Linked DNA regions of Alligator mississippiensis. The protein of the gene in region 3 interacts with the protein of the main gene of each other region in a biochemical or structural test. Links are inferred from orthologs where the notes say so. Each region holds a gene or a part of one and is shown on either strand. Other genes may lie near its edges.

Region 1 (3,744 bases), on a different chromosome or scaffold from region 3:
CTGGCCCGGCCGCAGGGAGCAATGCCCTCACCCCCGGGACACCCACCCCTACCGCAGGAGCTGGGGCAGCCTGGGGTCCAAGGTGGCCTGGCTAAGGGGGGTGCTGAGAGGAGGCAGAGGGGCAGCTGGCTCCCACCCCACGTGCTGCAGCCCCGAGGACGCCCCGCTTGGCAGGGACCCAGCTATGCCCGCACAGGGCACAAGGCAGCACGGGGTGGGGCGGCAGGGGCTGCAGATTCGGGGCCCAGCTGGAGAGGCTTCCCCAGCATGGGAGCAGCAGGAGCCAGAGACGCACAGCCACCCCTGCGCAGGGGGCAGGAGACGACGACCCCGGGGCCCCCCAGGCATGCGAGGCCGTGCCCGCCGCGGAGGCCGAGTCCCTGGCGGGGCGGGGCGGCGCTCTCACCTGCAGCAGGTCCCGGCCGGTGGCATTCAGCTTGGGCACCACATTCACCAGCGACGTCGTGGCCGGGTACATGGGGTAAGGCTGCGGGGACGGGCGGCGTGAGTCCGGGGGCTCCCTGCCCCTCGCCCCTGTCCCAGGCAGCTGCCCCTGCCTACCTTGTAGTCGGGAAGCTTGGTCATGGCTGGCCACTGCTCCTCAGTCGGGGTGCCCAGCAGCGTGGGCGGCCGAGTTAAGGGCCACGGGACCAGAAGGGACCTTGGGGCCATGAGGCCCGACACCCAGCAGCCACAGACCCCCCACACGCCCTGTCCCGCCCCCTCGTACCCAAGGATATCGGAAAATCCTCTTCAGCTGGTCGTCCACGTCGTTGCCGGGGAAGAGGGGCCGCCCCGCGTTGGCCAGCTCTGCGGAGAGGAGCGCGAGGGGTCAGCGGGCAGCCGGCAGACTCCCGGCCCCCAGCCCAGCCAGGCCGCGCCGCGCCGCCGGCCCACGCGCCCCGGCACCTGCGAAGATGCAGCCGGCCGACCACATGTCGATGGAGGTGGAGTAGAGCTTGGCGCCGAAGAGCACGTCCGGGGGCCGGTACCACAGCGTGACGACCTGCGGGGCACGGACGGGCAGTGCGCCGCACACCCCCCCGGGCCAGGGGCACGGGGGCAGGGCGCCGCGGGGGGCGGGGGCAGGTGGGCGCTCGACCCCGGCAGCACCGAGGTGCGGGGTGGTGCAAGGCAGTCCCCCCACGCGCCGTGGCATGGTGGGGGTGCCCCGCACGGCGCGAGGGCCGCGGGCGCGCACTCACCTCGGCCGAGTAGCAGCGCACGGGGATGCCGAAGGCGCGGGCCAGGCCGAAATCCGCCAGCTTGAGCTCCCCGTTCTGCGGAGCACGGCGCGGCGTCACGGCCGCCCCGCGCGCTGCCAGCCCCCCCGGCCCCGGCCCCGGCCCCGGCGCCCCGACTCACCCGGTTGATGAGCAGGTTTTGGGGCTTGAGGTCGCGGTGCAGCACGTTGCGGCTGTGGCAGAAGCCGAGGCCCTTCAGCAACTGGTACATGAAGGACTGCGGAGGAGCGCGGTATCAGCGCCGCCCGGCACCGGCACCGACGCCGACGCGGGTCCAGCGCCGCCCCCCGCGCCCCGCGCCCACCTTGACGATCTCGGGGTCCAGGTCCCCGTTGCAGCTGTCGAAGTACTTCTTGAGGTCCTGGGCGGGACAGCGCGGGGTCAGGGGTCGGGTCAGGGGTCACAGCGGGGGTGGGGGCCCCGCGGCCCCCCGCGGCCCTACCTGGTCGCAGAACTCGAAGACCAGCGTCAGCTTCTTGTCGCTGTGCAGCACGTCGTGCAGCCTGCGGACAGGGCCGTGAGCCGGGGCGGGGCCGGGGCCCGGACCCCCACCCCCACCCCGCCCCGGCCCCGATCCCGACCTGACGATGTTCTTGTGCTTCAGCTCCTTGAGCAGGCAGATCTCGCGCAGCGCCGAGCTGGGCACCCCCTGCGGCGGCACCGGCCACGGGTCAAGGGGGGGCACGTGCCCCCCCACCCCGACCCACGTGTCGCGGTGCCCCTCCCCCCCGCACCTCGTCGTCGTCGTCCAGCCGCACCCGCTTCAGCGCCACGATCTCGTGCGTCTCCCGGTTCTTGGCCTTGAACACGGTCCCGTACGTCCCTGCGGGGGGGGCGGGGCGGGGCGGGGCGGGGGGTCAGCGGGCCCGATCCCGCGCCCCGCCCCCGCGCATGGATGGGCCCGATCCCGGGTCCAACCCTGCCCCCCCCCCCCGCCCGCCCGGCCCGGCCCGGCCCGGCCCGGCCCGCACCTTCCCCGATCTTCTCCAGCTTCTCGTATTTCTGCATGGCTCCGCGCCCCGCGCCGCCCCGCGCCGCACTACACCTCCCGGCCTGCCCCGCGACCACTCCGTCTCCCGGCATGCACCGCGCCGCCCCGCCCCGCCCCGCCCCGCCCCGCGGGACTACAACGCCCGGCGTGCACCGCGCCCCGCCCCTTTCCCCTCTCCCCGGGCAATGGGGGGCAGTCCGGGGGGGCGGGGCCTGCGGGGGGAGGAAGGAGCCGCGGCCCCCCCCTCCTCCCCCCGGCGCAGGCGGCGGCAGGTGAGCGCGGCCCCCCCGGGATTGCCCCCTTTTGCCCAGGCAGCCCGGGGTGCCCCCTCGTGCCACGTGCGGGGTGTGGCCCCCCCAGGCCGGGCCCCCCGTGCAGGTGAGCGGGGCGGGGCGGGGCGGGGCGGGGCGGGGGGGCTGGCACCATGCGCGGGGCACGCGGCCGCCCGCCACCGTGACATCGCTGCCCCTCCCCGAGGCGGGGGCGCGGGGGCGCCTCGGGGCAGCGGGCAGGGATACACGGCGCGTCGGGCGCTGGGCATCGCCGTGCGGCGGCAGGGCGCAGGGCATCGTGTTGGGCGGCATGGCGAGAGCAACACGTCGGGGCCCTGGGCTCTGCGGTGCGGGCGGCAGGGCAGCGCGTCGGGGCGCTGGGTGGCACGGTGTGGGTGGCACATCGGGGCCCTGGGCTCTGTGGTGCGGGCGGCAGGGCAGCGCGGCGGGGCGGGGAGCAGGGCTCTGCAGTGCAGGCAGCGTGTCGGGGCACTGGGCGGCACAGTGCGGGCAGCACACCGGGGCACTGGGCTCTGCGGTGCGGGCGGCAGGGCAGCGCGTCGGGGCAGGGAGCAGGGCTCTGCAGTGCAGGCGGCGGGGCAGCGCGTCGGGGCGCTGGGCGACACAGTGCGGGCAGCGCAGTGCGGGCAGCGCACCGGGGCACTGGGCTCTGCGGTGCGGGCGGCAGGGCAGCGCGTCGGGGCGCTGGGTGGCACGGTGTGGGTGGCACATCGGGGCCCTGGGCTCTGCGGTGCGGGCGGCAGGGCAGCGCGTTGGGGCAGGGAGCAGGGCTCTGCAGTGCAGGCGGCGGGGCAGCGCGGCGGGGCTCTGGGTGGCATGGTGTGGGTGGCACGTCGGGGCCCTGGGCTCTGCGGTGCGGGCGGCAGGGCAGCGCGTCGGGGCGCTGGGTGGCACGGTGTGGGTGGCACATCGGGGCCCTGGGCTCTGTGGTGCGGGCGGCAGGGCAGCGCGGCGGGGCGGGGAGCAGGGCTCTGCAGTGCAGGCAGCGTGTCGGGGCACTGGGCGGCACAGTGCGGGCAGCACACCGGGGCACTGGGCTCTGCGGTGCGGGCGGCAGGGCAGCGCGTCGGGGCAGGGAGCAGGGCTCTGCAGTGCAGGCGGCGGGGCAGCGCGTCGGGGCGCTGGGCGACACAGTGCGGGCAGCGCAGTGCGGGCAGCGCACCGGGGCACTGGGCTCTGCGGTGCGGGCGGCAGGGCAGCGCGTCGGGGCGCTGGG
Region 2 (3,744 bases), on a different chromosome or scaffold from region 3:
CATTAGATGTTAAGATAACCACTAATATAGACTTTAAAAAGTCTATAGAAATGAACTGATAACATTTACTGGATTTAAAATATTTAAACACCCATAGCCGAGTTATATGGGGCTGTGGTCATAATTATCTTACAGACCTCATACAAAGTAGTGTTAAGGGTATTCACTGAAATGTATCTCTGCAGGTCCATACTCTCTAGTGTTTAAGCTATTAAAAGTTTAAACAGTTTACAAAGTTACAAAGTTTACAAAGCCTGGATTTCCAAAATTTCAAGGGAGTTTACTAGATGCACAGTATTTCTAGGCTAAAATATTTCATTGCACTTAACATGAAACTGCCTTAACAGCAAGCTCCTTAACAAGCAACTTCTTCATTTAAGATCTAGAGACAGGCTTTTACGGATAGTGTTGACCACAGGAACTCCAGTTTGTGGACATCTATATTAAAAAGAAGAATTGAAACCTAAGGTAGGGAGGGATTTCGTAACTGTATCACCTGGAGAAGTGACAAACATACTTCAGAAAAACAGCAGGTCTACAAACAGGAGCCAGTTAGGGTGAGGGGCCTTTATAATGAGAATTAGGAGCCCAGTACCACCACACAAAATGTCATGATAAAGCCAAAAGCAATCAGGGCTTGTAGTAGAGATAACATCTTTTATTAGACCAACAAGATCTTGCAAAAAAAATTCTTTAAATTGCAAGCTTTTGGGCACAAACACCCTTCATCAGGCATTGGAGAAAAGATTGTAAAAGTTCTCCTGGGTAGAAACAAAAGTTCTTATTTCACAGGATTTCACAGAGGAGTCAATAAATGGAAAATTCCTCTGGGCAGGCAGATACCTGACACATGATAAAGCCAAGATAGTCTAAGCTAAGTTTTAAATGAAGAATTGTGATCCAATGAATAGGGTGGTAAATTAGAAGGCAAAGAGACACCCTCCCCCCCCCCCCCCCACACACACACACAGTTCAAAAGTGACCACTAACTTTGGGTGCGTGACTGGACACATCTATTGTCCAATTTTCTAAAGGTCTTGATGTACACAACTCTGCATGGAGCCTCTAAATTCAGTGAGTGCATGCACAGAATCAAATTAAGCAAAGATGACATTTAATGTTACTCCTCTGCTTTGTCTCTATTTAAATCCCCCCCAAAATGCACCACTTCAATTAGGTTGTATATACATATCAGTGTAACTGAAATGTAAAGACAAAATATTTTATTTTAACCTTGTAGGTATAAGAAAGACTACACTTGCTATAACTGTAAATATAACAGGTGTCAGCATCTGATTAAGTGAATCTGAGGCTCAATGCTTGCGTGCACTCACTCTCTCATACTGCACGTGTGGGCAAGTGAGTAGGCATGAGACAGATATTGACAAGTATTTGCAACCTAATTAAAGTGGTGCACGTTGGGGGGGATTTAAAGAGAAACAAAGCAGAAGACTAAAATTAAATGTCATCTCTGCTTGATTCCCACCAAAATTCTTGTACATATCTTAGCTCGCTCTCAAAGCCTGCCTCTGGAGAGCCAGTGGAGAAGTCCGATACCCAACTCAGCTCAAGCACAACCATCCCAGATGGCTCTACTGTCAACTAAAGGGAACTTCCCCCAGAAGGCTAGAAAGGGTTTGTTACCTGGCTCCTTTCCAAAGGGGCTGTGGAGGATTCAAATATAAGTCACTGACTGAATGTAGGGGCCAGTTTTGCCTGCACTTGTTCAAGGTTGAGAAACAGGGGAAACAAACCCAACAGGGGCCCAGGCAGAATAAAAAGCCCTGCACTAGACAAGCAAGTCTCCATGCTGATACTGCACTGATGTCCCCGCGGCTTTGGGAGGAAGCCAACCTGTCCCCCCACTCACCCCCACCCCCAAAGTAAAACCTCGGCCTTCGTTAGCCCTTTCCGGATCAGGCCGCTGCTTCCCCTCCGCGGGCTCGGGCCTGCCGTGCAGTGCAGGACAGGACAGGACGGGCCGGGGCAGGCGGGGGCCTGGCGCGCGGACCGAGCGGCGGGGTCAGCGCAGCTCAAGGGCAGGGGTCCGGGGCGGGCGTAGCCGGCCCAGCCCGAGCACTGGCGGCCGCAGTGCGCGGCAGCGCTGCATGGGGCCGCGGCCGAGCGGAGCCGAGCCGAGCCGGCCGGGGGAGGAGCCGCGCGGGGGGCGGGCTCGCTGCGACCAGGCCGGCTCCAGACAACAGGAGCCGGCGGCTCGGCCGGACCGTGACAGCGCGGGGCCTGCGGACAACGCGGCTCCGCCCGCGCCGGGGCCCTGCTTTGTGCTGCGGCCGGGGGGGCCAGACCCGCCCCGCCCCGCCCCGCGGGCCCGGCCCGCACCGCCAGGCCGCTCCCTCACACCCGCCGCCCCGCTTCCGCTTCCCTGTCACAGCCGCCCCGGCCCGGCCTGACGGGCTGCACGGAGGGGCCCGGCCCGGCCTCTGACCTCAGGCCCGGCCCGGCCCGGCCCGGCCCGGCTCAGCCCCTCCCCGCCCTGCCCTGCCCTGCCCTGCCCTGCCCTGACCTTGGGGCGCCGCCGCGGGCCCGCTCCGCGCGGCTGCCGCGAGCCGAGGCCCGTGTTGGGCCCCGCTCCGCCGGGCCGCGCCGGGCCGGGGTCGGTTCGGTGCCTGCCCAGCGCCCAGGACGCGCCCGCAGCCGCCGCGGCTCCGCCCTCGGCACCACGTGACGGGCCGGGACACGCCACCGCCGCGCCTGCCGCCCAGCGCGCCCGGGGAGGCCGCTCGCCCGAGCCCCGCCCCGCCCCGCCCGCGGCCCCGGGGACGGGCCTGCCGGCCTGCCGCGCGCGGCGCCCCGACTGTGCGGGCGGCTCCCCGCCACCGGCCTCGTACGGCCCCGCGCACATCCCCGGCCTTCCAGCGTGGAGCTCGAGAACAGCGACCCCGCGCACGCACCCTCCCTTGTCAGGCGGGGAAGCTCAGGGGCTGAAGTCCTCCTGCCCCCCAGCGCACCTGCAGTGAAACCCGAGGCCTTGCGCCCAGGAACCAGGCTCGAGTCATGCCCCACGGCTGCTGAACCTTCGTGGCCCCCAGCACAACGTCTTATTAATCCATGACTGGTGTGTCTCTGTGACACCACAGGCTAAACTGTTCCCCCACCTTTGGACCAGTCGCTCTACACCCCCAATCCAGACCGCTGAAGCTTGCCTAGCTTCTGGTGATTTGTGTTGCTATTTCTATCCAGCTCTGCAATCCAAAGTCACTGCCTGGATAAAGCTGTAGAAGGAAAATGGGGCCTTTGTAGAAAAATAGTAGGTGGCACAGCTTGATACCTACAGCACTTTCAAAGCTAGAGTCTCAATCTGCTTTATAAATATCAGTAAATTATTCCTTTATCACATCTCTGTCTTACAGCAGGGTAACCTGAGGCAGTCAGACATAGTGGAGTGGAGGGGTTTTAACTGTGCACATACGCACAGTTAATTAGTAAGGCTCCAGTCTTACAAGATGTTTTGTGCAGGCAGGTTATTGCACCTGTCTGAAATAGCATGGAAGTCCACCTGAAAATGGCTTAAAAGATGAGCAGCCATAGGATTTTACATGCTGGTCCTATAAAGTTGTTAAAACGAGCAATGCTAAGGTAACACAGGAAATCTGTGGCACTGGGAACAGCAGTTCAGTCTTCTGTTTGCCAGTCCTTTAATCACAAGGCCATCTTTCCGTGGTGGTAGTGAAAATAAATATATTGTAGTTATACATTAAGACTACTGAAATAATCAAAGTTCTA
Region 3 (3,744 bases):
AGAACTTGTTTCTGAATTTACAAAACTGAAAGCATGAACAGCAAAGTTCTCATTTCTTACACAAATGTTCGTGAAGATTTTCTTTTAATTGTACACATTATAATAGATTCTATTAGATTTTTTGCAGTATAATTGCTAGGGTTAATGAAAAGTGTGAAATAATCAATACTGTTTTTGTTTTTATTGTTTTACTGTTCATTTTGAATATCAAATAAGTACATGTAAAAGTTCATTCTAGACTTCTTATTTTCCTCTATATTGGAAGTGGTGGGGGCACCAAGGTAAACAGTTTGCCTAAGGTGCCAGTTACCCTTGGACCGGCCCTAAGTGTGAGTGTGGATGGTGTCACTTTACTGTGGAGCTAATTTGTCAACTCCACAGTAAAGCACACATGTAGATGCACCCAGTGGCAGCTTACTGTTACCATCTTTCTCTTATGAAAGTTGTTCACTGAAGCATCCCAGTAAACACAAACAAATATGGTAAATCTTCAACGATCTACAGTGTTGACCATAAAAGAAAGCATTGATCTTTCTACCCATGATCACTAATCATACGAATAGGACAGGTGCTCTCCAAACCAGCAAAGTTAAGGACAGAATTTAGCAGTTGACAGACAATAAATTATAGCAAAAAATCAAAAATATGCATTTAATAATTAATTATGAACATGGATATTTAACAGGAGGACAATGGTTTTTAATCAGTCTTTAAATACCTTTTTATAACACTTGCAGTTCACCTTCTTTGCAACAACTGGATGTCAAGATAAAAATCGTTCTGATATTTTAGAATGTTAGAAAAGACCAAATCCCAAAGTCTTCACAGTCATGTTAATGGAAAGTTGCCTCATTGAGGGCATCAAGATTTTATATTCTATTTGTTTCTATGCTGGGTTATTAGAGCCTCATGGGTATTTCCTACCAAAGAAATGGTTATATATAAAAATGTTTTTTCACCTATTGGGTTAAATAGTGGTTCAGTGGAACTGCACAGCTTCTCTTTGTATCTTCCCTATAATAAATGGCTAAAGAACTGAATCCCAAATAGAGGCTTAACAATGCAGCTACTTGCCCATGGCAGCTGTGACGTAAGAGAGCAGCAGCAACTTCCAGATGCCTCTTGCCACTGGTGTGATCACGACGCTGCAGAAGCCCCGGTTCCCCTGCCCTAGCTATGTTTCTGCCCACAAACAAAAATAATATCAGGTCAAAGAATCTTCTAGCTGATCTTGCAACAGAAGGTCAATAATCTGATCTTCAGCAGGAGTAGGGTGACCAAGCCTGACTGGGAAAGGTTCAATTGAGGTGTTACTGACAACTCAGAAGCTAGGGGCTTCTTTGCTATCCTCTAGCAATACCAAAGGTAAACTGTACAATTCTAAGGGCTTCCCTACATTAGAAAAATCAATATTGTCATATTAATACAAACTTCCCTAATACAGACAAGATTTAGGCCACGATTTCATTAAACAGCTTAGGATGCAAAAGAGATTCTCACTTTTAGGTAACATGCTATGGAAATGCTAGCCCTCTTATCAGATGAAAGCAGGCCTGTGCGAAGTGGCTAGTATTCGCTTCAGATTTGGCTGATTCAGGGGACAGTGATTCAATTTGGTGATTCAAATCACTGTCCTGATTTGATTCAGCCAAATCTGATTCAGAGATTTGGCTGCTGCTGAATCTCCAAATCAGCCAGGCCCATCCCCCCCAGCTGGGCAATCGCTGCCCTGCCCACCCCAGCTCCTGGCACTTGTTAAAAAAAAAAGCCCCGACTCAGTGGGTGTTGCCGGGCAGGTGGTGATCCCTGCTGCCCCCCACTGCCCCATGCTGCATGGCGGGCTCTGCCATGAGCCCCCCAACCCCCCCTGTCTGAGCCCCAGCCCTTCCCATGGCTGCCCTGTCCACCGTGATGGCCCTTTAAGAACTCCCCCCCAAACCCCCCCCCGACACACCATTCCTGCTGGTGGGAGCGATCCACATGAGACCCTAGAAGCCCCAAGGCTGCTGCAGGAGCTGGTGAGTCTTGGGGTTTTTCTTGTTTTTTTTTTTCTTAAACGGCCAGCGCTGACCCAGGCAGGGCAGCCGTGGGGAGCCTGGGGGAGTGAGGGGGGGGGGGTCGGGGGGCTCATGCAGAGACCTCCATGCAGAGTGGGGCAGTGGGGGGCAGCCAGGATTGATTCCCCGCTCAGCAGCACCCAATGAGCACTGGGGCTTTTTAAAAAAATGCCAGGAGCTGGGGTAGATGGGGCACCCGTGGGAGGGCTGGGGGAGCAGGCAGGGGATACGGGCTGGCAGGGGTCCCCCATGGTCCCCTCCCCCATCACCCTCCCACTTACCAGAATGGAGTCTGGGTCCAGCTCCCTGCTACAGCCACCAGGGACTGTCCGAAGAATCAAAGCTCTCCGAATCTTTTCCGAAGATTCAGAGAGCTTTGAATCAATTCAGACCTTTTAATTGCTCCCCTGATTTGATTTGTATTCAGAGATTCGGCCACCAAATCGGGCCAAATCTCCTCCAAATTTAATCACTACCCGAAGCTTTGCACAGCCCTAGATGAAAGATATTTGATTTGGTTATTTTTTAAATAAAGCTTCAAGAACATTTTTGTCTAAAGATGTGACCCTTATTCCAAAGGGTCTGAAACAAAGCTCTTTTGTTGAGGGCATGCTTCTTAAAGCACTATGCAATTCAAATAGGTATATTCTGAGATGTAAAAAGAAATTACTTACTTTGACACTCCTGAAGCTTGATGTCATATTTGTAATCAAGGACTGTCTGGTCAGTTCTTGCAAGAGGAATATCTTCATAATGTGGTGAAGAAATGCTAGAAAAATCAACGGTTGTAAATGGCTTTATATCGAAGGAATGGGAGTGATCATCCATTGCAGAGAGATCCACTGAGTTAATTCCAAAATTAATCGGCCAAAATGGCATTTCTGTGTCAACCATTGTAATTCCTACCAAAAAAAAAGGAGAAAAACAGACAGACATTTAAAGAGTTGGCTTTTTCTTTGTGCAATGGGGCTTGAAAGCTTCATATGACAAAGTGATTTTGGGAATAAATGACAAAAATATACACAGGAAGCATGATATACTGAGAATTTAAACTATCATATTAACTTGCACACCTTTCCCCAGAACTGGAATACATTGTTGTAAGCTGGGAAGCTAATTTTTTTCTGCCCAAAAAAGAAGCAGGAAGATGCTGTAAAGTGGCTTCTGCTTCTTTTCCTTCTTTTCCCTCCAGCAGCCCCATTTAGGGAGGGGCGGAGTCCAGCAGGGGCAGATCCAGAAGGGGGTGGAGTGGTGCAATCACAACCCATTTTCATTCCTGCTCAACCCAAATTTAAAGACAAATGTACAGGACAGCAGCAGCATTTCTATTCAGGACTGGCTGAGGGAGTCAATTGATTTCATGTCTCATCATAATCTAACTGATTCCTGCTAACTGCTCTCACTTCACAGGTGTTAACACCCCTGTCTCTTTTGTTAATGGTCTTAATTAGGCCTGTGTGAATAGGCAGCTATATGATTCAGCTTCGGATCCGGCTGCTTCAGATGCCAGGGATCCAATCCAGAGCTCCGGATTGGGTTCCCGCTTCGATTCGGCAGAAATGGCTCTGAAGCTTCAGAGCTGCTTTGGAGATCCGGCCATAGGGTGTAATGGGGAATCAATGAAATATCTATAACTTTGTTGTTTTTGTCTGATCTGGATGAAACTTGCAGAGATGGTAGCCTATGC

The links.
Region 1: of the proteins of PPARG (region 3) and CDK5, one has a biochemical effect on the other in vitro, tested with the Homo sapiens proteins (3 studies listed by BioGRID, with this or other methods). The link is inferred for Alligator mississippiensis from reciprocal best matches to the Homo sapiens genes PPARG and CDK5.
Region 2: the proteins of PPARG (region 3) and NCOA6 interact in a test that uses a peptide from one of them, tested with the Homo sapiens proteins (2 studies listed by BioGRID). The link is inferred for Alligator mississippiensis from reciprocal best matches to the Homo sapiens genes PPARG and NCOA6.

What each region holds. Positions count from the first base shown.
Region 1 is NC_081828.1:220,005,692-220,009,435, forward strand, and holds the start of CDK5 (cyclin-dependent kinase 5), read right to left. Parts: upstream 2,326-3,744; 5' UTR 2,253-2,325; coding exon 2,216-2,252; intron 2,068-2,215; coding exon 1,979-2,067; intron 1,894-1,978; coding exon 1,826-1,893; intron 1,748-1,825; coding exon 1,687-1,747; intron 1,606-1,686; coding exon 1,549-1,605; intron 1,462-1,548; coding exon 1,366-1,461; intron 1,281-1,365; coding exon 1,206-1,280; intron 1,007-1,205; coding exon 910-1,006; intron 811-909; coding exon 741-810; intron 623-740; coding exon 562-622; intron 488-561; coding exon 407-487; intron 1-406. UniProt on the Homo sapiens protein: Proline-directed serine/threonine-protein kinase essential for neuronal cell cycle arrest and differentiation and may be involved in apoptotic cell death in neuronal diseases by triggering abortive cell cycle re-entry. Interacts with D1 and D3-type G1 cyclins.
Region 2 is NC_081832.1:23,729,784-23,733,527, reverse strand, and holds the start of NCOA6 (nuclear receptor coactivator 6), read right to left. Parts: upstream 2,634-3,744; 5' UTR 2,525-2,633; intron 1-2,524. UniProt on the Homo sapiens protein: Nuclear receptor coactivator that directly binds nuclear receptors and stimulates the transcriptional activities in a hormone-dependent fashion. Coactivates expression in an agonist- and AF2-dependent manner.
Region 3 is NC_081835.1:30,992,480-30,996,223, forward strand, and holds the start of PPARG (peroxisome proliferator-activated receptor gamma), read right to left. Parts: upstream 2,955-3,744; 5' UTR 2,952-2,954; coding exon 2,732-2,951; intron 1-2,731. UniProt on the Homo sapiens protein: Nuclear receptor that binds peroxisome proliferators such as hypolipidemic drugs and fatty acids.